4 linked regions of the Ovis aries genome follow. The protein of the gene in region 3 interacts with the protein of the main gene of each other region in a pairwise test. Links are inferred from orthologs where the notes say so. Each region holds a gene or a part of one and is shown on either strand. Other genes may lie near its edges. The genes, in order: PLXNB1, PLXNB3, ARHGEF11 and PLXNB2.

Region 1 (4,900 bases), on a different chromosome or scaffold from region 3:
GGCACTCAGTGCCGAGGAGCATCACCTCCCCTGGCAAAATCTTTTTCAGTGGAGGCCAGCCTTGCCCACCATGCTGGTCTTCTCCCCACAAGGCCCACTGGAAGCCCAGCTCCACCCATCCTGGCTCCGCATCTACCAGCCAACAAGCAAATCTGAGTTCCCACGTGCCAGGTGTAGGGCAAGGAGCAGAGACCCGGGGATGTCCCTGGTGTCGTGGGCTCGTTGGAGGGGAGACAGCTACTGACCAAACGCGGACGGTGCGGGGGCAGGGACAGGAGGGCTTGCTGGCCACGCCTCCATGGGGGGAGCGTGACACAGGCCCGTCTCTCCCACACAAGGCCGCGGCACCCGGAAGTCACACTTGCACACCACGCCTTTGCTCACTGCCTGTCTCTACTCCAGGCCTGGGCCAGGAGACAGGTCCTCATCTCTCAACAGCAACGGCCACATCCCTGGGGCCACGCAGACGTCTGGGCAAATGATTCCAGCGGGCACTCAGCAGGCCGCTGCATCCGTCAGCAGACTGATGGACGCTCTGATCCTGAAGCCTAGCCCAGAATCCCCCCAAAGCCCCCTCACTGGCTCCATCGTGCCCTCACCTGCCCCAGACCCTACATCTGGACCCTCTTCTCTGTCTGTACCTGCAGCCCAGCCAGGCCCAGGCCCACAGAGATGGCCTACACTGCACACAGCCACGTGAGGCCTCAGATAGGGGTCTGAGCGAGAACAAGTCCATCAGTTCTGGTCTCTGTCATGGCCAACTTTTTGCGACCCCATGGACTGTAGCCCGCCAGGCTCCTCTGTCCATGGGATTCTCCAGCAAGAATGCTGGAGCCATTCCCTTCTCCAAGGGATCTTCCCAATCCAGGGATCGAACCCAGGTCTCCTGCATTGCAGCCAGATTCTTTACTGTCTGAGTCACCAAGGAAGCCTGAACTAAGTGAGTGGTCCATCAGTTGGATTTTTCAACCTTGGAGGGTATGTGAACTCATTTTATAGTCATGGGGGAGTCAGGGAGAGGGAGTGACTCCGTCAGCGCACGGCTGGGGCCAACGTGGCACCCAGCACGTCCTGCACGCCATCTCCAGGCCCTGCTGGACCCCCCGCCACCCCCACCACCAGGCCCAGGAGCCCTGCCAAGGGCCCTGGATGGGGAGGGTGGTAGCAGGTAAGAGTCACGCCGATACCAGGAAGCGCACGGCAAGAACAAACACTGCCCGAGCCCACCACTCTGTGCCTGGGGGAGACACGGAGCCAGTCACCCGCTCACACCATTCTGACCACGCCCAGGTTCTGCTCACCTGGTCATAGTATTTGTTGATATACTTGTAGAGCTCATGCAGGGCCACTCGAGCCCCCAGGTCTCCAGAGTAGTTCTAGGAGGAGGAGAGACAAGAGGTTTTAGAGCTAAGGGGTGCTGCCGGCCCCTAGAGGAAGCCCAGGACCCCAGGGACGGGGAGTGGGGGAGAGGGCTCGGGAGGCAGAGGAAGGAGCAGAGCCTGGTGTTGGGGAAGTGGAGCCCCTCTCTCGATGAGGGGCTGCCAGGCTCAGCTGGGCACAGGATAGAGCCAAAAAGGGCCTCCTGGGTGGAGAGACCCCTGCTCTGCAGTTTCCCAGGCCCTGGGGTCTCCACTGGGGCCCTGCCTCTCTCCCCCTCCAGGCTCCAGCTGGGACCCTCTGTCACCCCAGGGGACCGCAGAGCCCAGCAGGATGGACACTGCTCACAGCCTGTGACCCAGCCCTGCTCTGCTCCGATCTCACTCGAGCCTGTCCCCTCAGGTCACACCCGGGCCCCTCCCTGGGGACCTCTCTGAGCCTCAGCCTCCTCTTCAGGACGATGGAGTCGAGGTCTCCTAACTTGTAGAGCTCTTCTACGAGTGCAGTGAGAGGGAATCAAAGCACCCCACCCACAGCAACACGCCCAGCTGCAGCTGCTATTTGTTCTGTGGTTGTGATCTTCATCACCTCGGTTTCAGATTTAACATTGTTCGTAAGTTCCCCGGGGTGTGTGTTTGGGGGCTCTTTTAGGAGTAGGCAGAGGCAGGTCTACACTGCCCAGGAAGCAGAGCAGTAGGATGTGGACAGGCTGGGCTAGACGGTCCTGGGGTTCAACCCCCGCCTCCTCGCTGCCTGGGAACCGTGGTCACAAACCCTGAAGGGCTGCAAACATCTTAACACCCAGCTGAGTCCGGTCAGGTGGTAGCTGCCGGCACAAGACCCTGCTGCTCTCTGATGAGATGCTGGGAGCCCTGGTATTTTACGGAGGCAGCGGGAACACTCTTCGGAGGCCCCAGGACTTCCTTGTAAAGGAGCAGTGTGAAGCAGGCAGGACCCTTGGGGCAGAAGGCCTGTGCCCAACCCAAGGAGCAGAAGGAGGGCCGTACCCGAGACAGCTCGGCCAGGATGGAGTTCATTTCTTGATCACTGGCAGGGATGGTCTGTCTGATGTCTGCATAGTACCTACCAGAGATTATGGGTCCAAAAGTCACTAGGGAAACAAACCCTTCCTCACCCCACCAGGCCCACCCCGGGGGCCTCTGCTGTAAACACCCACCCATCCATCCACTGGTTATCTTCCAGACCCAACTCCTTCCCCTCGTACCTTTCCACCATCCGTTTGTACCGGGGAATATCGCGGGCATACAGAAGTTTGTTGATGGGGGAGTCCTGGGGGCCAGCAGGCGAGCAGCAAAAGAAAGGAAGGATGAGGGCCCTGTTAGGGTGACCAGCTGTCCCACCGTCCCCAGCACTGCTTCAGTTTTAAAACTCAGTCCTCAGCCTTCCCTGGCGGCTCAGTGGTAAGGACTCTGGCCTGCCAGTGCAGGAGACGCGGGTTCCATCCCTGATCCGGGAAGATGCCACAGGCCTCGGGGCAACGAAGCCCCTGCGCCACCACTCCTGAGGCTGTGCTCGAGAGCCCAGGAGCCGCAACTACTGAGATCACGTGCTGCAACTCTGAAGCCAGGCGCCCTAGAGCCCGTGCTCCACACCCAGAGAAGCCACCGTGATGAGAGGCCCCCACCCCGCACCCTACTCACTGCAACTAGGGAAAAGCCTGCACGGCGAGGAAGACCCAGCACAAATAAATACAGTGAACACAAATCAAAAGAAAACTAAGTCCTGAATCACAGGAAACCTCCTCAGTCCCAGGTAAGCCGGACGGTTGGCCACCCCAGCTCCTTCCTTCCGTCACCCCTCCCCACTGTCCCACCTCCGCCGTCATCACCTTGAACGTCTCCCCCTCTCTCTCCAAGGTCATCTCTCAGCTCCACGTGCCTCCACCCAGACCCGGCAGGGAACTGGCGAGCCGCGTGGAGCCCTAACACTGCTTCTCCACGTGCTGTCCATTCTCCACGGACTCATCTTAAAACTCAGGAAACTAACCCGGAAATTCAATTACATTGCCCCAGACCATCTCACTCGCGCATGGCTGAGCTGGGATTTGAAGCAGGTCTCTCTCCGATCAGGGCCCACAGTCTAACAGGACCAGACACATCCTCTACCACCGCACTGGGCTCCAGTCCCAGTCCTGTCCCGGTGGCTGCAGACAGCACTTCCGTTCTCGGGACCTGCTGCCTCATCCTACAGCTGCAGGGAGGGTGGGGCGAGACTGCACTGCCCGCCGAGGGCCAGGGTCTGAGACCAGATGCCTGCTTCTCAGCCGCTCTCCGCAGGGGTGCCCTCAGGATCCTGGTTTGCCCCATTCCTGACTCACCCAGGAAGCACCTGCAGTACTGCCAGGAAGCGGGGGCTGTGTGAAGATCAGACATCAGAACCCGGACACCGGAGAGCACACACCCTGGAGGGGACCCCTGGGTCCCGGTGTGGCCCTGTGGGTCTCAGCTCATCATGGGCAGAGTGATGGGAGTTCACAGACCAAAAACTGGCTCCCAAGAGACAGCTCTGTGCATTGGAACCTTCCATCTCATTTCTTTTCACAGGGCTAGGCACAGACCTCTCAGAGGTCCCAGGCCAACTGTGGCCCAGGGGACCAGGCTAAGCGGAGCCCGATCACAGGCCTGAGGAGCCACGAGGGTCCTCCCCGCTGGGTACCTGTGCAGTCCCAGTGGGGACCCGATATCAGTCTCGGACTCTCTGGGTTCTGACCCCTGTGACAACTGACCTGCACCCTCTGTGCCACCAGGTCAGCTCCCCCTCTGTGCTTCCCACTCCCCTATCCGCACATCCCTGCTTGCCTGGCCCTCCCTGGACTCTCCCCCTTGTACTGCCCTGGCTGGTGGAAACCTCCTCTGCTGCCCTTGGAATCCAGCCCCCCAGGCAGCCTGGAGATGCTCAGCATTTACAGAATCCACGTCTCTGCCTAGAGACCACCTGGCAGCCCCTCCTCCAAGTCTGAGCTCACAATAGCCAGAGGCCCAGGGGTCAGAAGACACCCCTCCCTTTTCCTCATCCCCAACATCCAACCCACAGCTCCTGCCTGCCCTGTACCCTCTTGTTCCAGCTTGAACACGGCCACTGCTCGTCCCAGGGACAGCATAGCTTCTGCTCTGGACACCAGGCTCCAGTCCATCCGCTGGCGACCACCAGGGGTCTGACCCCCCACCCCTGTCCCCAGGCCCTCAGTGGCTCCCCATCACACTCAGGGTGAGCCCTTGCCAAGTGGCCCTGGCCTCCTGCCACACTCACCAGCACCTGCTGCCTTGTCTTGACGTTGCGAATCGGCACATGTGGCCCCGGTCCTTGTTACATCACAAGGCTGGAGCACGGCCACCTCCCAGGGAGCCCAGGGACAAAGCCCGGCCCGGGGCTAAGGTCAAAGGCCTCCCATATCCTCCTCCCTGACATCCTCCAGAAAGATGGGAATTTCTGAGTGCACACAGCACAGTCTACCCCTGGCCAGGCCGCCCCCCCCCCCCCCCACACCCTCCCGGCCCACCCC
Region 2 (4,779 bases), on a different chromosome or scaffold from region 3:
GTATAATTCTGGGGGAGGCACATGGTGGGTGAGGCCCCGGCCCAGACCTTGAGCCCCCAGCTTCCCCCTTCCCCTGTGTCCTCACCCCTGAGAGCTCAGTCAGAGCTGAGTTCATCTCCTGGTAGCTCGCTGGAGGGCTCTGGCGGATATCAGAGTAATATCTGCAGAAGGGCACAGAGTTAGGGGCAGGCAGCCCAGGAGGTCCCTCGTCCATGATGCCCAACACCTACCTCTCTACCATCTGCTTGTAGCGAGGGATCTCCCGGGCGTAGAGCAGTTTGTTCACTGGGGAATCCTGCTCCGGGCGGGGTGGGCATGAGCGGGGAGGTGCCCTCTCCTGGCCCCATGCCCTGTGGGGAGCCAGCCCCACCCAGGGCTCAGCGCAGAGCCCCTGTGGCTACCCTCCCCCCCCGGCCTGCCCTCCTCGGCCCTCACCCGGCCCACTTTATGCTCTGAGACTGTGCAGGAGTCCATGAAGGTCTGGGCGATGACGGCGAGGACCGCATCCACGTTGTCTGACACCCGCACGTCAAAGATGAGCTGCGGGTTCTTCAAGGTGTTCACCCAGAACCGCAGCAACAGGCTGGAGACACAGGCCAGCCATGGAGTGAGGCCCGGCCAGTCCAGCTCAGCACCTCCACCTGGACCCTGGTGGCCCTGAGCTGCCTGGGGAGCTGGCCATATCGGGGTGGGGAGGGGGGCGGGCACGATTGGTCACCCAAGGTGATGGCCCCCAGGCCTGGGCTCCTGTCCTGGCTGCGCTGGCAGTGTCCTGGTGTATCTGGGACTCATCTGCCCGGGTCCAGGCCAGCAGGTGACACACCTGTTCGTCTTCCAGATGTGCAAGGTCTCCGGGTCCTCAATGCTGTGCTTCTCCGCCAGCTCATCCAGGAAGTCAAACAGGTACTTGACGGCGATGGGCACGGGCCGGTTCACGCTGAGGATGGCTTGGAAGGCGTCATCCACAAACTTCTGCAGTGTGCCCTAGAAGGCAGGGGATGGGGCACTTTTGGGGGGGTCGAGGTGGGAGGCCCTTCGAGCTGTGGCCAGCCCCATTGTCCCACAGCATCTCCCCAGGTCTGTCCAGGTGCCCTTTGCTGAGCCTCCCCAGGAGAGGAGCCCCACCTTCATGGACAGCAGGCGGGTGAGGTAGATCTCCGGGATGGCCTTGGCCCGTGCCCGCTCCCGCTCCCGGTCCCTCAGGCTGCTCCGCCGTGCCTTGGCTGCCTCCGGCTCCTCGGGGGCTTTCACCAGGTGCCACAGACGGACCCCACCCTCCTCGCTATCCTCCAGCATGGGGGTGTCTGAGGGCGCAGAAGCTGGGCCTCAGTCCTTGGCCCCCCTGCACCCATGCCACCAGCCGGGGTGCTCCAGCTCGCACCCAGGAGCTCCCTGATGGTGACGCACCACCACCCTCATCCACCCGCCGGCCTGGGTCCAGTAGGGAGTCTTGGCTTCCCCACTGACGAGGTGTTGGGAGACCCAGATAGGGCCGATGGCATGGCCTCGAGCTCCTGAGAGCCTCACTCACTCTCCCCTGAAGGGCAGCTGGGGGCCAGGCTCTGGGAGATGATGCCTCCTCCGTTGTGTAGCTGGGGGATGAGCCTCACTGTGGCTCCGTCTGGGACCTGGCGGGGAGGGGGGCAAAGGCTGGGCTCCTTCCCTTGCCAAGCCCGAGGTGGGGGTCCTGCCTCCCCAGACCCCACCCACCGGGCACCTTGTAGTGCTGCAGGGTGTTGAGTCTCTTCCAGCGGTTCTGAGTCACTGATGTCACGTCCTCATCTGACAGGGTGAGGTGACCTGCCAGGCCCGAGCGCCACTCTAGGGGTGCAGGGTGGGGACCCGGGGGAGCCAGTGAGCCCACAGCCTGTTCCTGCTGGGCAGAGCCGAGCTGCCAGGGGCGGGGAGAGCCAGGGGCGGGCATTCACCGAGATCCAGGGCGTGCGCCGAGGGCCTCTGGGAGAACGGGGTGCCCTTGTAGATCTGATCCAACACCTTCTCCTTGACCTGAGTGATCGTGTCCGTGTCAAGCACCCGGGTGGGGATGTGCAGTGCCGTGTTGCTCCTTGATGGCCCGCCTGGCCCCGGGCTGGCCAGCACCATCAGCGTCAGGGCCCGGAATTCCACATCCTCCCGCAGCAGGCGGCTGTCGTTCAGGGTCCGTTTTGCCTTGCCTGTCACTGCGTCCACGGGGCCCTTGTCCACCTGGTACTGGATGGCCCGGAGGAGCATGTACATTGGTTCACCGGCCACCTCCTGCAAGCATCAATCTGGGGATCAGCTGGCTGCGTAAGCTCATAGGGGCAGCTGGCTGTGTGGAGCCAGGGCAGAGGGTGGTCCATGCCAGCGGGCTCAGCTTTGCACGGGGCCAGGGCAAAGGCTCACCACCTGTCCCTTACCGACACCCTGCCCTTGTGCCCGAGGTCCCCTGGGAGGGATCGGGCCACAGGTCAGGGAGGCCCGAGGCAGCAGCCCTGGCATGGGGTGAGGGGAGAGGGGCCCTCACCCTCAGGAAGGCGTACAGGCATATAGACACCCAGTTGGTGAGCAGCTTCTCCGCCATGGTCTCCGTCCTGCGTGGAGCGGGCCCCAGGTCAGAGGGGCTGCGCAGGGTCATCTTGTCCCCCACCCAAGGCCAGTGGTGGAGGTCAGGCAGGGCTGACTGGCCCTACCAGTGGCTCGGGACCCAGCTGGCCACCTGGGGCTCCCCGGGGCCACCCTGCCCAGAGCCGTCCAGGGCCAACCTGCGCAGCATGAGCTTGGGGTTCTTGCGCACGTAATGGGAGGCCAGGTCACTGAGCAGCGTCCTCATGATCTCGGTCAGGTACTCGAGCTTGCTGTGCAGTGCCAGGGACAGCAGCGAGGCCACATGGCAGCGGTCCCGCTGCGAGAAGCTGGGTTGCCCCTCCAGGGTGTGGATGAGCTAAGCGGGAGTTGGGGGGCACCAGCGCTCACTCTGGGGAGCCCGGCAGCCCACGTGGCCTCCCACCATGTAGCCTATGCCTGCCGACCACCCAGCCTCCCTCTTCACCCCAGGCCCGCCTCCAGCCTGCCCACGTGGCCCTCACGGTCAAGAGGAAGAGCTTGCTGTTGAGCAGGTTGGAGAGCTGCATGAGGCCCTGGTGCACGGGTGCCCGGCGACCCTCTTCACCCGGCCCCTCGACGGCCGGCTGCAGGGTGCCACTGTTGCGCCCAGGGAAGAGGACCCGCTCAGCATAGGTGCGATAGTCCACAAAGGGGATCCCGCTGGCCTCCAGGTCGCTGCTGAGGTCAGTCATCTCTGTCATCAGGTCTGCAGGCCGGGAGCCACCGGGGTCTGAGCTCGGGAGCAGCTCTGCCTGTGTCCCGCTACCCGCGCCTGCCCTCCCACCCCTGCCCCACCTGTGAACTCCTTGCGGCACTGGTCACCCACGCCAATCTCCAGGTTTTCCAGCTGCATCAGAACCTTCTGGTAGTCCCGCATGGCTTGCTTGCTCTTGTGCCTGCCACCGGGGGACCGAGTGTCAGCCACACAAGCTGGCCTGCCTGGGCCGAGACCCCCAAGCCCAGATGGCCGGCTGTGGGGCACCTTTGCCATAAGTGAAGAGGGGACTGGACTGGACACTGGCGTGTGTGTGATCCTCACCTGTACATGAGGGTCAGGAGGAGCACGGCAGTGATCAGCAGGGCTGCACCCACGCCTAGGCCCACCTGGGCCTCCACGGGGAAGGCAGACAGCACGGGTTCTGCCTCATACTGGACCGGGCCCAGTACCAGGCGCACGTTGCCCATTTGCACCTGGGGGTGGTGGGAGGCACAGGATTCCTGAGCACTGGCTCTGATGGCTCTGGCCGCCCACGACTGTGCCTGGGGTCCCAGCCTCACCACGAACTGCAGCAAGGTGCCATTGCTGGGCTGTGGGACCTGCGGGGGCGGCTCACAGTACAGGTGGGTGAGCGTCAGCGTCTTCACCAGGCACTCGCTGTCGCCAATGTGCACGCGCACTTCCTCCTTGCTGATGGCCAGGTTGAGGCCCTCGCCCTGGGAGGCCGATCACGGGCCTGAGTGGAGTCACTCAGCCTGTGTCTGCAGGTCCCCCCTGTCCCCCAGGACTGCTGGCTGAAACCCTGACCTCCACATCCAGAATGTGGCCTGGCTTGAGGCGGTAGGGGCGGGTGGACCCCCCCTCGTGATGGAGGGGGGCCAGCCGAGGGTTGGGCTGGTACAGGAAGTCCTGGCCCCCACTGGCGCTGGCAAAGTCCACATGCACGTTGTCCAGGCTGAAGAAGACCCGCCGGGGGCTCGCCGTGTCAGGCACCGCGGGGCTCCGGCAGAGGAGGAGGGTGGATGAGTTGATGGAGCACACGCTGGAGCACTGTGAGGGGGCAGGCCGAGGTGAGGTGAGCTGGGGGCTCCCAGCCTGCCCCGATCCCTTGCTGGGCACAGCCTCGCCTGCCGCTGCAGGCTCACCTGCAGCCAGCCCCGCTCCAGCTGGGTACAGGCCTGGGGGGCTGCAGCTGGAGCCTCGCAGCTGCTCCTTGGGGTCGGGTCCTGGGACTGCAGCTTCACAGCAGCCCTCTCCGAGATCTCCAGCCACACGGACAGCAGGGGCTGCTGTACCACGTCCAGGCCCGTGCCCCTGACTCGGATCAGCCGCCCACCCCTGCGCCAGGACAGGACTCAGCGTGGCCCGGGCAGCCTGGCCCCGTCCTGCCACCCCACTTTGCTGGCAGGGTGCAAGTGCACCAGGTCCTCACCCCCGGAAGCTGACACTGGGCTCGGCTGCAACAAGCTGGGGGT
Region 3 (5,667 bases):
TTGAGGGAGTGTGTATATGGTGCGTGTCCACGTGACTGCAGGCAGGGGTCTAACCCTGGAAGCCCAGCTCTGCCCTCAAGGGCTCCCATTCCAGCCCTGCCTGCCTCTGGCTCCAAGGAGAGGTTCGTTACCCGCAGCCTTTGCTCCGCCTTCCGCTTCGGGTGGCTCAGGCCCTGACGGGCCACTCTCTGGTAGTGCAGGGACCACCTTGCTGCCTGCCACCTCCGCTGCACCAACACCACCACCAGGAAGAGCAGAGACCGAGAGAGAAGGAAAGGGAAGGGAGATGAGCCGGAAGGAGAGGGAGAAAGAAGAGGCGGGTATGGGGCAGGGCGGGGCGGGGCGGGGGGTGAAGAAAAAGAGAAAAGGAAGAACAAAGTAAACACACGATCACACATGATTATACCCCGCGGAGCCACAGAGAACCGCTCCACCAATTCACCAATTCACCAGAGGAGAGAAAAGGAAGGCCAGGTCCCAGAAACCCAGGAAAGAGCGTAGGCCTCGGGCAGGTGGAGAGAAAAATGCTCCTGGAAAAGGAGGCAGAGCTGGGCACTGGGGGAGGAAAGCAGACACCCTGGCACTGGTGTGGACGCCCCCCACCCCTCAAGAGCACCCTGCGCTTCACTTCCTCCCCTGCTGCACTCCTCAGACCAGGCTGCCCTCTCCTCAGCTGACTCTTCCCTCTGTCCTCTGAGCTCTGGCCAGACGAACCTGCCCCGACCCCCGTCCCAGCCAGTCCTGGCTTTTCCCGTCTTAAAACCAGGGCCGCCTAGCTCCCTGCTCATTTCACCAGAGCCCCCAGTCTCACACGGCTCCCCAGCCTTGTCCTGCAGCCCCTCCTCTTGGCTCTGCCTCCAGACCCACCCTGCCTCTGCCTCACACATCAGCGCTTCCTTGCTGCTCTCTAAAGCTACCAGCTGGAGCCCTCTGACTTGTGCCACAGTGATATCCTCATAATGAATGAAGTCCAGAGGGGCTTTAGAATTTCTCCCAGGGTCACAGGGGTATTAAGTAACGGAGCCAGGACTCTGCACCTTGGCTGTCTGACCCCAAAGCCTTTTCACGATGTCAGCGTGTCATCTTGCCCAGGATCAGGACAAACCTCTGCACACAGGGCTTCCAGACAGGGGCGCGGGAAGCAGCCAGCTGGAAGACTCAATGCTCCCCTAGCAAAGCTGGCCATGTGCCCCCCCAGGGGACACCCCAACTTACTTTACCTTTTCTTACAACTTTGTAACTTCCTGTGCCCTCTGTGCTTGAAGCTTCTTCCTCCGGATTCTTGTCTAGCTCGGAAGATTCCCAGATCCCAGAATTCCTGGTCCTTGGGGGCAGTTGTTCCAGAGAACGCAAAGCCATGTCCTCCTGCCCTGGCTGGCTCCACTCTGGCCCCGAGAGTGGGGCCTTGTCCCCTTCAGCCCCAGTAGGAGCTCGCCCTGGGGAGCCTGGGTCCCAGGGGTGCGAAGTGATGCTGTTGATGGAGGGTGTAGGGGTCAGGTCGTCCTCGGGCTCCCCAGCAGCTCGTGGGTCCGTGGGGTGACCAGGCAGCAGGCTCCACAGGATCAGGTGCCGCAGGTTCTCCACTGGAGGGGAAACGGGGGGACGGCTTCCTGGACACAGGACCGCACACCTGGCCATGGCGGGGGTGGGTGCAGAGGAGGCGGGGGGCTGCTGCTCCCTTCCCTGCCCACCCCCCCCACCCCCGAGTGACACTGCCTCTGCAGTCACAGGGTGGAGCTGGGGGACCTTGGCCAACCAGCTGGGGGGCGGGCTGAAGGCTGGGGCGGGGGGACAGGAACAACAACGGTCTCTCTGCATCCTTCTCTCCTCGAGCACAACTCAGGGCGAGCCTCTGAGCAGGCCGAGTGGGGTACGGGCCTGTTGACGCTGGCCAAGCTGCTGGGGCACTGTGGGCTGACAGCCAGGGCCAGGAGGCACTCACCGTCCTCCAGGGCTGCGTCGGCGAGTCCTTCCATGAACAGAGGGCCTGGGAGGGGCAGGAGGATGGGGTCCCTCGTCCTGCTTCCCCTGGGCTCGCTGTCCAGCGAGGCAGAAGAGTGAGGCAGCGCCCCCAGCTCCTCTTCCTCCACGCTGCCCTCCTGCTCAGCATCTGCCAGCAGGGCCGAGTGCTTCCCTTGGACCCTCTGCGGGCACCCCATGCCTGTTTCGGATGGGAGGACAGTGTAAAGCCAGGAAAGAGGGAGGGCATGTACAGGCTGATCCCAGGTCCAGCTTCGGGTTCAAGGGGCTAGGAACACTGCCTGATTCATTCCACAGTGTTTACTGAGCCTCAATCATGGCCAGGCACCGTCCCAGGCTCCTGGCACACATCAGCAGAAAAAAACAGAGGTCCCTGCCCTGTGGAACTTAAATTCTAATTGACGAACACAGAGAAAAAGAAAATAAGTAAATTAACTACATGAATTAGCTAAGAAGTGCGATAGGAAAGAAAAAACCACACGCGGGGGTATGGGAGATCAGGAACGCTGGTATTAAGCCGAGTGGTCAACAAAGGCACTAGGTGCAAAGCTGACGATCTATCTGCCCAAAGACTTGAAGTGGGGCGGGAGTTAAGAGAGGCATTCCAGCGGAAGGAAAGCGAACACAGACCCAGCCAGGGGGCCTGCTCATGGAGAGTCCTCTCTGAACTTGAGGCGGTAAGTCACTTCACACTAAAAACTCAACAAGAGTTCTGCTGGGGACCCTCGAGCCCCTGTCGACCCCATCCTACTGACTGTATCTTCAGCCCTCTGAGCGCCACTCCCCACCCCCACCCGCAGGATTCCCGTGCCAGCCCATCTCTAAGAGCATCCCGTTCTCCATCAGGAGCCGCCAGACTCTACCCGACTGCCCCCTCTTCCTCCTCAGGGGGAAGCTCTGTTCAGTTGAGCCTGTTCTTTCCTCTTCCAGCCCTCCTTCCTCCTTCTGCTTTTCTCTGTTCTTATGGCCCTTTATAGCTCTCTCCCACCACCCCAGCCACCTCCTTACCTGTGCCTACAGAGAGTGAGCTGGATCGGGCCCCCACAGAGACAGCTCAGGGACTTACCTCCTGGGGCTGCCTCAGGCTCCGCTTCACCACGGAACACCTCGGAGTCATCTGGTCCTGCCCTGCAGGGAGAAACCGCCAAGGTGAGAGGGGCCTGCCTGCCTGGAGCTCTGGCTCTCTGCCAGCTGGGAGGTGGCCACGTCATGAAATTCCACTCTGGCCGCCTGAGTTCACGGGGCAATGCAGGAGCAGGGCCCAGGAACGCAGTGGCTTAGATTTCAGACCTGCTGTCTGGTGAGCAACCTGGAGAGCAGGGTGGGTGCCTTCTGCCCCCCACCCCCACAATTCAGGCACAGTCTGAGCAGGGCAGTGCGGGGAAGGCCAGGCAGGGACAGAAGGTGGAGGTGCAGGCGTGCCTTACTCCGCCTGCCCGCTAACACCTGGCAGCTGAGGCTGTCCAGCCCAGGGAGGAAGTGCTCAGAAGCAGCACGAGTGGCCTGGAGTGGGGATGGTGAGCGGGCCTGGAGGGCTGCGTACCTGCTGGGTGTGGGGCTCCGGTCGGCTGGCTCCTGGGGGCCTGGGGGCGGGGGGTGGATGGGTGTCGGGGCAGCTCCGGGGAGCCTGGTGGCATTCCGAACAGCCTCTTCTAAGAGCTCCATCCACCTGTTGCTCGGCAGGAAAAGAGAGGTCTGGTGGCGACAAGAGGACAGAGGAGCAGCGTCTCCCCCACCAACCCCGAGTCAGAGCTGCGAGGCCCTTTGCCAGAACCTGCCCTGAGGACCCTCTGCCCAGTGGGGGGGCCGCCGCCCGTGCAGTTCTGACTGGCTGCCCCACTTGGGGCGGGTCTATGTTACTCGCAGCTACCAACTGCTGAACACCAACACTGTTAGGCTCTGCGCTCTGCATTCTGTTCTCGCTCAATGTAACTCCCAAGAGGCAGCGCCATCCGCAGTCACAGATGAACGCCCCGAGAAACTGTCTGGCCCAAGCTGTCTCTGGCCTCTGGGTCAGACAGGCTACTACTGAGGCTGGCTACTGTCGGGAACACGGGCGGGTGGATGCCGTGGGGTGGAGATGAGAGTTTTGGAGGCAAACACCTCTGAAGAATGCGGGCATTTAAAACACTTGATAGAGAAAGAGAAGAACCACCCAAGGGAAGGGAGAGGGCCAGAGGAAGGAGAGGCGCAGCGGGCTGGCTGGAAGACCGCTGGTGGCGCCTCCTTCCTCGGACAGGCCGCTCATGGGGTCAGGGATGGCGATCCCAAAAGCCTCTCTGCGTCTGTCTTATCTCCCTCTTCTGTGTCAAGGCCCCATCCTCTAACCACTCTGGGCCCAGTCCTGGTCTCACTGTCCAAGTCCTCACACACCGCCCTGGTCCCACGGGGATGGCAGTTACGCGGGACTGCCCCGCTTCCCAGCAATCCTCACGTGTTCTTGTCTGATGATGTCAAAGCCACCAGCTCGTAGATCTGAGGTGGGCCCAACTCAGAGGTACAGATGATGAAGAAGGCCCGTTTATCTGTGCGGAAGACAGAAGCAGAAGGGTCTGTACTGGGGGCGGCAGAGGCATGACTGCAGCCTGGGTCGGCTGACAAAGTGTGGACTTGAAACCCTGACCCTCAACCGGATGGAGAATGCAGCGCTAGCTGAACCTAGGTCATTGGGTTCCACTTACAGAAGGGCAGAGGCCATTCTGGTTCCTCTAATGCCACTTTCACAGTCGCTGCCTCCCGCTTTCCTCACGGTGAGGGCTGAGGGTTATAAAACCACATCACACCCATCCTCCCTTTCCACCTCCCCCAAGAGACAGGCATTGCATCACTCCCCACGCCACAGCTGAGGAAAGTGAGCCCAGAGCCCTTCTTGTACATGCTCCGCTTCCCACTAACATGCTCCGAGCACGGGGCTGGGCTCTGGCCTGTGGGTGTGAACTCTGCCTGTCCCTCCTGCAGCAGGAAGGCATGTCCTACTCGTCTCTGCCCAGTTCTGCTTCCTCATCCTCAGGCCACCCTCGGTGCTCACATCCCATCCTGCCTGCGCCAGGCTGTCCACCTTCATCCCCATCCTACCCCGTACTGAACCACATCTTCCTGCTTAGATGAGTCAGGGTAGAAGGAAAGCCACACAGGCAGGCCAGTAGGCTCATCACCCAGCGCTCACTGGACGTGAGTACCAGGGCTCATGGCCTGGGGCCTGGGCCAGCTGGGGCCGTCTCCTTGTGGGTACCTGTGGCCACCGAGCGGACGAGCACAGCGTTGAGCTTGAGCACGGGGCTGAAGGTCTGCTTGCTGTCTGAGGAGCCCACGGCCATCTTGCTGTGGCACTTGAGCAGCAGCTTCTCGTCCTGTTTCTGCAGCAGCACCAGGAGGTCCTCCAGCAGCAGCACGTGGAGGTCTGGAGGAGGGCGGTGCTGGTGAGGGGTTCCCCGCCACCTGCTCCGCCCTCACCAACACCTGGGACACCAGAGGCTCCTGGATGGTCGTCCTCAGGGTCTGCGAAGCCCTGGAGTCTGGTGACCTGCTTAGGTTTTGGTCCTCCCTCCCCATGCTGTGCTCCAGGTGCCCTGAGCTCTCAACCCCAGTGGTGTTTGGAGCTGCCTCCCAGCTACCTTAAGAGCGCCAGGTACAGGGCTGATGATCCAGAGAGGAAGAGCACGGGTGATGCCCTAGATTCCCTCTTGG
Region 4 (6,280 bases), on a different chromosome or scaffold from region 3:
TGGCCCGCATCAGGCAGAGATCTGAGCTCATCGCAGTGCCCCTCCTCCCGCACCCCCAGGGGAACTGCTGGCCACCTGCGCCGAGCGGCCTTGTCTCCACACCCAGAAGAGTCAAGTCCTGGGCAGGGCTGATGCCAGCACCAGGGTCAGCACCTGGGTGACACCCAAAGGCCTCACTCGGTCCCTGCGTGCCCAGGCCCAGACTCATCTAGCACCAGGATGCGCCCCATTTTAGAGGTCTCGTGATCTCAGGGGCTAAGGACGTGGGCCCCAGGCCGAGCCCTCTCCCAGGTGCCCCGCCCCACCCCAGGACCACACCTCCTCTGCCCAGCACAGCCAGCCCACAGGGTGGAGAGTTGCCAGTGATGGGGGAGCCGGTCTCCGAGAGAGGCTGCACGGAGCTGCAGAGGGGCTCCAGAGAGGCCCCGAGGGCAGGAACAGGGCCCCAGCGCCAGGGGAGGGGGCAGCCCTGGGCTCCTCCCAGGGACCAGAGGGGCAGAGCTGCGGGCGTGCGCACGGTCGCTCCGGGCTGCCCCTGAGGGTCTGGGTCCCGCCACTGTATGGGCGTGTGAATATCACGGAGGCCAGCAGAGTCCTGGCGCCCCGGGCTCGGCACTGCAGGCAGGCCAGCGGGCCCTGCCCTGCCCTTCAGACGAGCAGCTGTGCCCTGGTCTGGCGGGGGGGGGGGGGAGCCCAGGAGAGGGCAGGGCTCCTGCCTGGTCAGCTGGGGGACCGAGGCCCTCAAAGCCTCCGGGACAGAGGGAAGCAGAAACCCACAAGAGGATATGAAACCAGGGAAGGGAAAAACCATGAAGGGGCCACATGCGGCAGGGGCAGAAGAGGGAAACGGAGTGCCCCCCCAGCCCTCCACAGCGCGGTGCCCCCCACCAATTATGGGCCACCAGCAGCCCAGTCTGTCCTGTAATTTGAAACCAAAGACGTTTAAAGGCCCCAAACACAAATAGCCATTAGCCTCAGGGGGAGGGACTTGTCCAGCCCCCACAAGAACCAGAGACTGGTCCCCGTGAAACTGCGCCCACCTCAGTGAGCCGGGTCGAGGCTGGAAGACCAGCCGGGTTCAGCTTTCGACAGGTCTGATCGCTCCTCTCCGCCCAGGACTGCTTCCCACACCAGAGCAGGCTCTGGACACAAGAGGGTCTCAGCAAAGAGGAAAACCCTACCCCCCATCCAGGAAGCCAAGGCAGGGGGCTGTGCCTGTTGCTGCAGCAAAAAGGCCTGAGACCTGACGTGAATGACAACTTCCTCCTCACAGGACAGCCCCGGGACAGAGGGCCTGGCATCGCAGCACGGATCTGCCCAGACCAGACCAGGGGCCCCGTGGGGAGGTGCCGAAGCGACAGCCGGTCCCACGCCCAGCGTTCCCAGGCACCACCAGCTCGGCCCCTGCGATGTGAGCCCAAGGCAGGGAAGAGAGCACGATGCTCTGGGAACGGCCCAGGTCCCGGGATGGCTCACAGCCTGTAACCAAGCTGTCCCGGGGGCAGAGGGGCATATGCCATATGGAACCGCCCCAGGCTGCCGCCACTGCCCCCCGCCAGCCTTCCAATCCAATCTCTTCTGCTCCACTCGCCTGGGCTGCGGCCAGGCCCCTGGGCTGCGGCCCTCCAGCCCAGCTCCTCGCTTCGCCTCCCAGTGCGGACTCTCCAGGGGCCGCTGGGGGTGCGGCTGCAGGCAAGCCCGCAGGGACCCCACAGGTCACGTGACGGGTAGCAGCCCAGACAGCTCCTCGCGGGGCCCCTTCCCTGGGGAACCCCTCGCCGGTGGGACGGACTGACAGGTGGGGACGTGGAGGTGGGGGCCGGGCGGTCGGAGGGGCTTCAGCCAAGGGTGCCTCGTTAGTGGGCCAGTCAGGAGGCGGGAGAATGGTCTCAGATTCAGCCCTGGGGAACCCCAGCGCCCCACCCACTCCAGGCAGCCCAGGTCCCGCCCCTGCCTGCCCCGCCACCCTGGGACACACCGCACACCGCCAGGTGTGAGTAACAAGCCCAAGGTGTGTCCCTGGACCCAGCGCAGGAGGCAGCCTCACAGGGCCTGGGGCCATGGTGCTGAGCCCTCCAGAGGTGAAGGGGGGTCTCTGGGCGGGGTGGCTGCCCTGGGGCCCTGAGACCAGAGGTCCAGGATCCCTCCTGGCCCAAGGCCTCCCCCAGAGAACCCGGGCGCACCCCAGGCTGGCTCGACGGGCCTGCTGGGGCGTTCTCCAGGCCCTCCCACCCCGCCCCTGACCGGCTGAGCAGCCGAGGAAGGTGCTGGAGCTGCCCAGACTTGCCTGTCCCTCCCTCCTGGGGCTCTCAACCCATGGCCCCGGAAGTGGATCTCTCTCCCACGGCTGCAGCCTCCCCCTTGGGTGACTGGACACGGCTGGATAATCCAAAATAATTCCTTCTTGGCAGGCAGCCGGCGGGGGAGGGGGGACTTGAATTCCAAACCCTTGTTTTTCTCTGCAACTTCCCTCCTCTCTTGGGGCGAGGAGCCCCAGGCCAGACCTCAAGCCTCCCCCCACGCTCGGATGAAAGTGGGCCACCGATAGGTGTGCTGGGAAGAGGTGCCGAGCTCAGATCTGCTGAGAGCACCTGCTTGCTTTCAATCTTCTCCGAGAATTCCTAAAAGCTGACACGCCACAAAACATACTCCGCGGCTCGGCCAGGCCGATGCTGACCGTGCCCTCCTAGGGACCCTCTCCTCAGGGCAGAGGACCGACAGCCCCTGCCCCAGCTGCCCAACTCTGGGGCTCCCCGCTCTATGCCAGGGTGACGTCCAGGTATGGGGTCCGGCTGAGCCCCCGCCTCTGGGGGCCTTGTTCTCCCATCGAGCTTCACCCCCAGTCCTGACCCCCCGCCACAGCCCCAGGGCCCATTGAGACCTTCCTTTCTCCAAGCTGGCTGGGAAGAGGAGCCCAGTGACGTGGCAGGAAGCTCTGAAGCCCTTGAGCTCAAGGACCCTCCTCAAATCTTACAAGCAACCTGAGCACAGAATGGTGGGAAAGGCCCATCTAGGAGGGCTTCCCGCAGGCGGAGGCACACAGAGGGGCAGGGTCCGGGCAGTGAGTACAGAGACTTTCTGGGTCCCAGAGTGTGCACCCAAACCTCAGACAACAAGCACCGGAACCGCGGGAGCCAGCCGCGCAGTGAAGCGGCCGGGCCGCCAGGACTCGCCCGGTGCCAGGCCGTCCTCCTCCCAGCCCGGAACCTGCACCCGCCTTCCACCCAGGCAGGTGCAGACAGGGGCGCCCAGGGTGGCCCTGGCTCATGCCCTCCTCACCAGGCCTGGGGGTGTGGGAGCCGCTAAGGTCTGACCGCGGGCCCAGCCCCTCGGGAGAGCTCCGGCTCGGCCACCCCGGAACGAGGCTGGGTGGGCGCAGGCCCGGGACTCTTGCAGGGCTAGGGCCGACCTCCGCCTTGTGCACGGATCTCGGTGGCCAGAGGGCTGGGGGGCAAGAGTACGGAGGGTCGGGAACCACAGCGTCTCCGGAGGGGCGCGGGCGGCGGGAGAGGGCGCGGCGCCCCGCTTGCGACCCTCGGCCGGGCCACCACTGGCGCCGCGAGCCTCGCCCACCGCCTGGAAGAGCGCGAGGCGGGAGGGGCCCTGCGCCGGCTGCCCGGACGGACCGACAGCAGCCGAGGCCCGGGTCGCCCTCCGCGGGGCGGCTGCCTCCCGGGTCCCCGCGTCCCGAGCGCCGCAGGCCAGGGCCAAGCGGCGCTGACGATGAAGCCCGCCCCCGGCCCGACCGTCCGCGGGAGCGGGGCCCCGTCCCCGTACCTGCTCGTTTGCTGCGGAGGCTCGATGGCGCCCGGGCCGCGATCGGCGCAGCGCTGTGGCCCGCGCGGCTGCCATGGAGACGGGCCTTTGTGTGGCCGAGGAGGGGCCGGAGCGCGCGGGAGCAGCGGCCCCGCCCCCGGCGGGGGAGGGGGAGGGGAGGGAGGGGGAAGGGAGGGCTCGCTGGGAGAGGGAGGGAGAGGGGGAGGGGAGGGGGAGGGCCGCCGGGCGGGGCGCACCCCGCGCGCCCCCGCGCTTCCTACATGGCCCCCTGCGCCCCCGACGCCCAGCGACTTCAGTGGGTGGACTCCGCCTGGCGCCTGGGAGGTTTGGCCTGATTCAGGCTCAGCCTCGGAACCCAAATCTGGGCTCTGGAGGAGTGCCCGAAACCCCTGCCCCAACCCTCAGACTGGGGAACAGACTGGGAACAGGCCGGTCACAGCGGTCCTTTGCAGGGCTGGGGCCTGCAGGGCTTTGTCCCCACACCTCCTTGGGGGAAGAGGGGTCCTTGGCTTCCAGCCACCCTCCCCGCTAGCTCGAACCCAGGATCCATCGACTGGCCTTCAGTGCTCAGAGGTGGGAGGCCAGACACGGCCCCTCCCTGGGGAGTCCAGTTCCAGTCAAGAGCTTGCCCCACGTTTGGCCACTCCGGCCCCATCCCTCCTGATCCTGATGCCCCTGGCCGCTTCCCACCCAACTTGAGCAGAGGTGGGGAGCCCCCCGCCCCAGGAGGTCAGCTCTCCTGTGTCCTCCCGCTCCCTCATGGACCCTCTCTGATCACAAGCCCTGGTGCGGTGAGCAGCTGCTGGGGACCCAGGGGAGTGTGAGGCCATTTCCCAGCCTAACCCTGACTCCCACATGTGGGCCCCCTCCCTTTCTGGGGGAGCTGCCATCCAGCTTCCCCTTGCCTGCAGACAGCCGGCTTCCTGCACCCTGGGAGGGGCCTGCTCCGTGCTCAAAACCCCCCACTAGGATGAAGCTGTTGGAGAGGGCCCCCCATGACTTCTTTCTGTGACATGCTCCCAACCAGCAAGGCCACACCTTCACCCTTCCAGCCCTGAACCATCCACACCAAGGCCCATCCACGCCCCACCAAGAGAGCCCTCAAGTTACCAGAACCTCATAGGAATGCCAACTTTTCATCCAAAGAGGAAGTTGGAAGACAAGCATGTGTCACAGAAAGACACTTTAATACCAAAGATGTGGGAAGGCCCCCATCCCAGACTAAAAGCGAGGCTTTAAATAGCGTGCAGGAAGCTTGGGGGTGACGACTGTCCTTCCTGCCCCTGGATCAGCCCACTGTCCCACGCCCATCCCCGGCCACCACTCCAGACCCACACACAACCTCCCGAAGAAAGCGGCCTCCCACACTGGCTGACCGCGGAGCCCCCGGGGACCACTGCTTCCTGCCCATCCAGGCCCTGCTGTGCACAGAGCTCTGGTCGGTGGGGCGCCGGCCTCCTTTGACTCTCCTGACCTTTCCTCCCTCCTCACTGTCCCAGCCAGGGCTGACCTGATCCTTCGAGAGAACCAGGGAGCTTTGATAGGGGGTAGGATGGAGCTGGCAGGACTCCATGCCAGGCTGTGCTGTGCCCAGAGGCTGCCAGTGTTGGAGTCCACCCTGGGCAGTGATGCCCACCCTGCCAGGCGGCCCTCCCCCGCACCCCCCACCAGGGGAACAAGCTGCTGTGAGTGCCCGCAGCGCGGACTCAAGTGGTGCTAGAGGGAGGGCGCCGGCATCCAGGGGCTTCTGGCGGTGCCCGCCGCCGGCACTGCTGGAGGCAGAAGTCTGGGTGGTTGAGGACACCCTGGCACCCCCTTGCAGCCCAGCCCTGGAAGGATCATGAGCGAGGCTGCCCTCCAGCACAGGCCCGTGACCCTCCGAAAACAGAGGGAGGAGAACGGGCAACATGCTGCAGTGGCGGCGGGGCACCCTGCACCTGGCAGCCCTGTCCCAGATCGGGCAGGCTGCGGGGGGGTCCACGAGGTCCCCCTCTCTCGAAGGCCTCACTCTCCTCTGCCTGCAGCCACACGCCAGGCCACCGGAGGCGGCGCTCAGGGTGGACGAGCCGACACTGGTGGTCCCGAGGCCAGTGCTGCCGCCATCTGGGGGCAACCCCCCCGCTGGGGAGCAGTGGTGGTGCGGCCCGGCCTGGGGGGCTCCAGAGGAGACAGGAGGCCCCCCGCTTGCACCTGTGCTGCCCGCCAAGGCCCTGGGGGCCTCTCAGGTGCAGTCTCCGGGGCCGTTTCGCTGGGACCTCCCGAAGGCCTGCAGCTCTGGGTCCAAGCCTCACTCCGCCCCACCCACCTCCGGCTGAGCAAGCTCCCCTGGGGTGCAGCTGACAGTTCTGGCCGGGCCTGGGTCCAGTGCTCCAAGGTGTCCCACGGGCACGTGGGCCACTTCGGGGGCCTTTCAGTCCTTGCCAAGGAGCCTGGGGCCCTGAAACTCTGGAGGGCTCTAGCTGCAGGGGCCGGATTCAGCTAGAGTCCAAGACCCTCTTCTGCC

The links.
Region 1: the proteins of ARHGEF11 (region 3) and PLXNB1 interact in a two-hybrid assay, tested with the Homo sapiens proteins (2 studies listed by BioGRID). The link is inferred for Ovis aries from reciprocal best matches to the Homo sapiens genes ARHGEF11 and PLXNB1.
Region 2: the proteins of ARHGEF11 (region 3) and PLXNB3 interact in a two-hybrid assay, tested with the Homo sapiens proteins (2 studies listed by BioGRID and IntAct). The link is inferred for Ovis aries from reciprocal best matches to the Homo sapiens genes ARHGEF11 and PLXNB3.
Region 4: the proteins of ARHGEF11 (region 3) and PLXNB2 interact in a two-hybrid assay, tested with the Homo sapiens proteins (2 studies listed by BioGRID). The link is inferred for Ovis aries from reciprocal best matches to the Homo sapiens genes ARHGEF11 and PLXNB2.

What each region holds. Positions count from the first base shown.
Region 1 is NC_056072.1:51,486,667-51,491,566, reverse strand, and holds part of PLXNB1 (plexin-B1), read right to left. Parts: intron 2,668-4,900; coding exon 2,603-2,667; intron 2,461-2,602; coding exon 2,385-2,460; intron 1,377-2,384; coding exon 1,302-1,376; intron 1-1,301. UniProt on the Homo sapiens protein: Receptor for SEMA4D. Plays a role in GABAergic synapse development. Mediates SEMA4A- and SEMA4D-dependent inhibitory synapse development. Plays a role in RHOA activation and subsequent changes of the actin cytoskeleton.
Region 2 is NC_056080.1:80,505,561-80,510,339, forward strand, and holds part of PLXNB3 (plexin-B3), read right to left. Parts: coding exon 4,737-4,779; intron 4,643-4,736; coding exon 4,450-4,642; intron 4,355-4,449; coding exon 4,112-4,354; intron 4,021-4,111; coding exon 3,865-4,020; intron 3,778-3,864; coding exon 3,626-3,777; intron 3,483-3,625; coding exon 3,382-3,482; intron 3,293-3,381; coding exon 3,069-3,292; intron 2,924-3,068; coding exon 2,745-2,923; intron 2,574-2,744; coding exon 2,507-2,573; intron 2,257-2,506; coding exon 1,929-2,256; intron 1,822-1,928; coding exon 1,718-1,821; intron 1,629-1,717; coding exon 1,532-1,628; intron 1,305-1,531; coding exon 1,126-1,304; intron 985-1,125; coding exon 824-984; intron 584-823; coding exon 436-583; intron 296-435; coding exon 231-295; intron 162-230; coding exon 86-161; intron 9-85; coding exon 1-8. UniProt on the Homo sapiens protein: Receptor for SEMA5A that plays a role in axon guidance, invasive growth and cell migration. Stimulates neurite outgrowth and mediates Ca(2+)/Mg(2+)-dependent cell aggregation.
Region 3 is NC_056054.1:106,872,038-106,877,704, forward strand, and holds part of ARHGEF11 (rho guanine nucleotide exchange factor 11), read right to left. Parts: intron 5,381-5,667; coding exon 5,213-5,380; intron 4,506-5,212; coding exon 4,415-4,505; intron 3,650-4,414; coding exon 3,524-3,649; intron 3,109-3,523; coding exon 3,047-3,108; intron 2,162-3,046; coding exon 1,943-2,161; intron 1,584-1,942; coding exon 1,221-1,583; intron 228-1,220; coding exon 132-227; intron 1-131. UniProt on the Homo sapiens protein: May play a role in the regulation of RhoA GTPase by guanine nucleotide-binding alpha-12 (GNA12) and alpha-13 (GNA13). Acts as guanine nucleotide exchange factor (GEF) for RhoA GTPase and may act as GTPase-activating protein (GAP) for GNA12 and GNA13.
Region 4 is NC_056056.1:225,585,117-225,591,396, forward strand, and holds the start of PLXNB2 (plexin-B2), read right to left. Parts: upstream 3,871-6,280; 5' UTR 3,778-3,870; intron 1-3,777.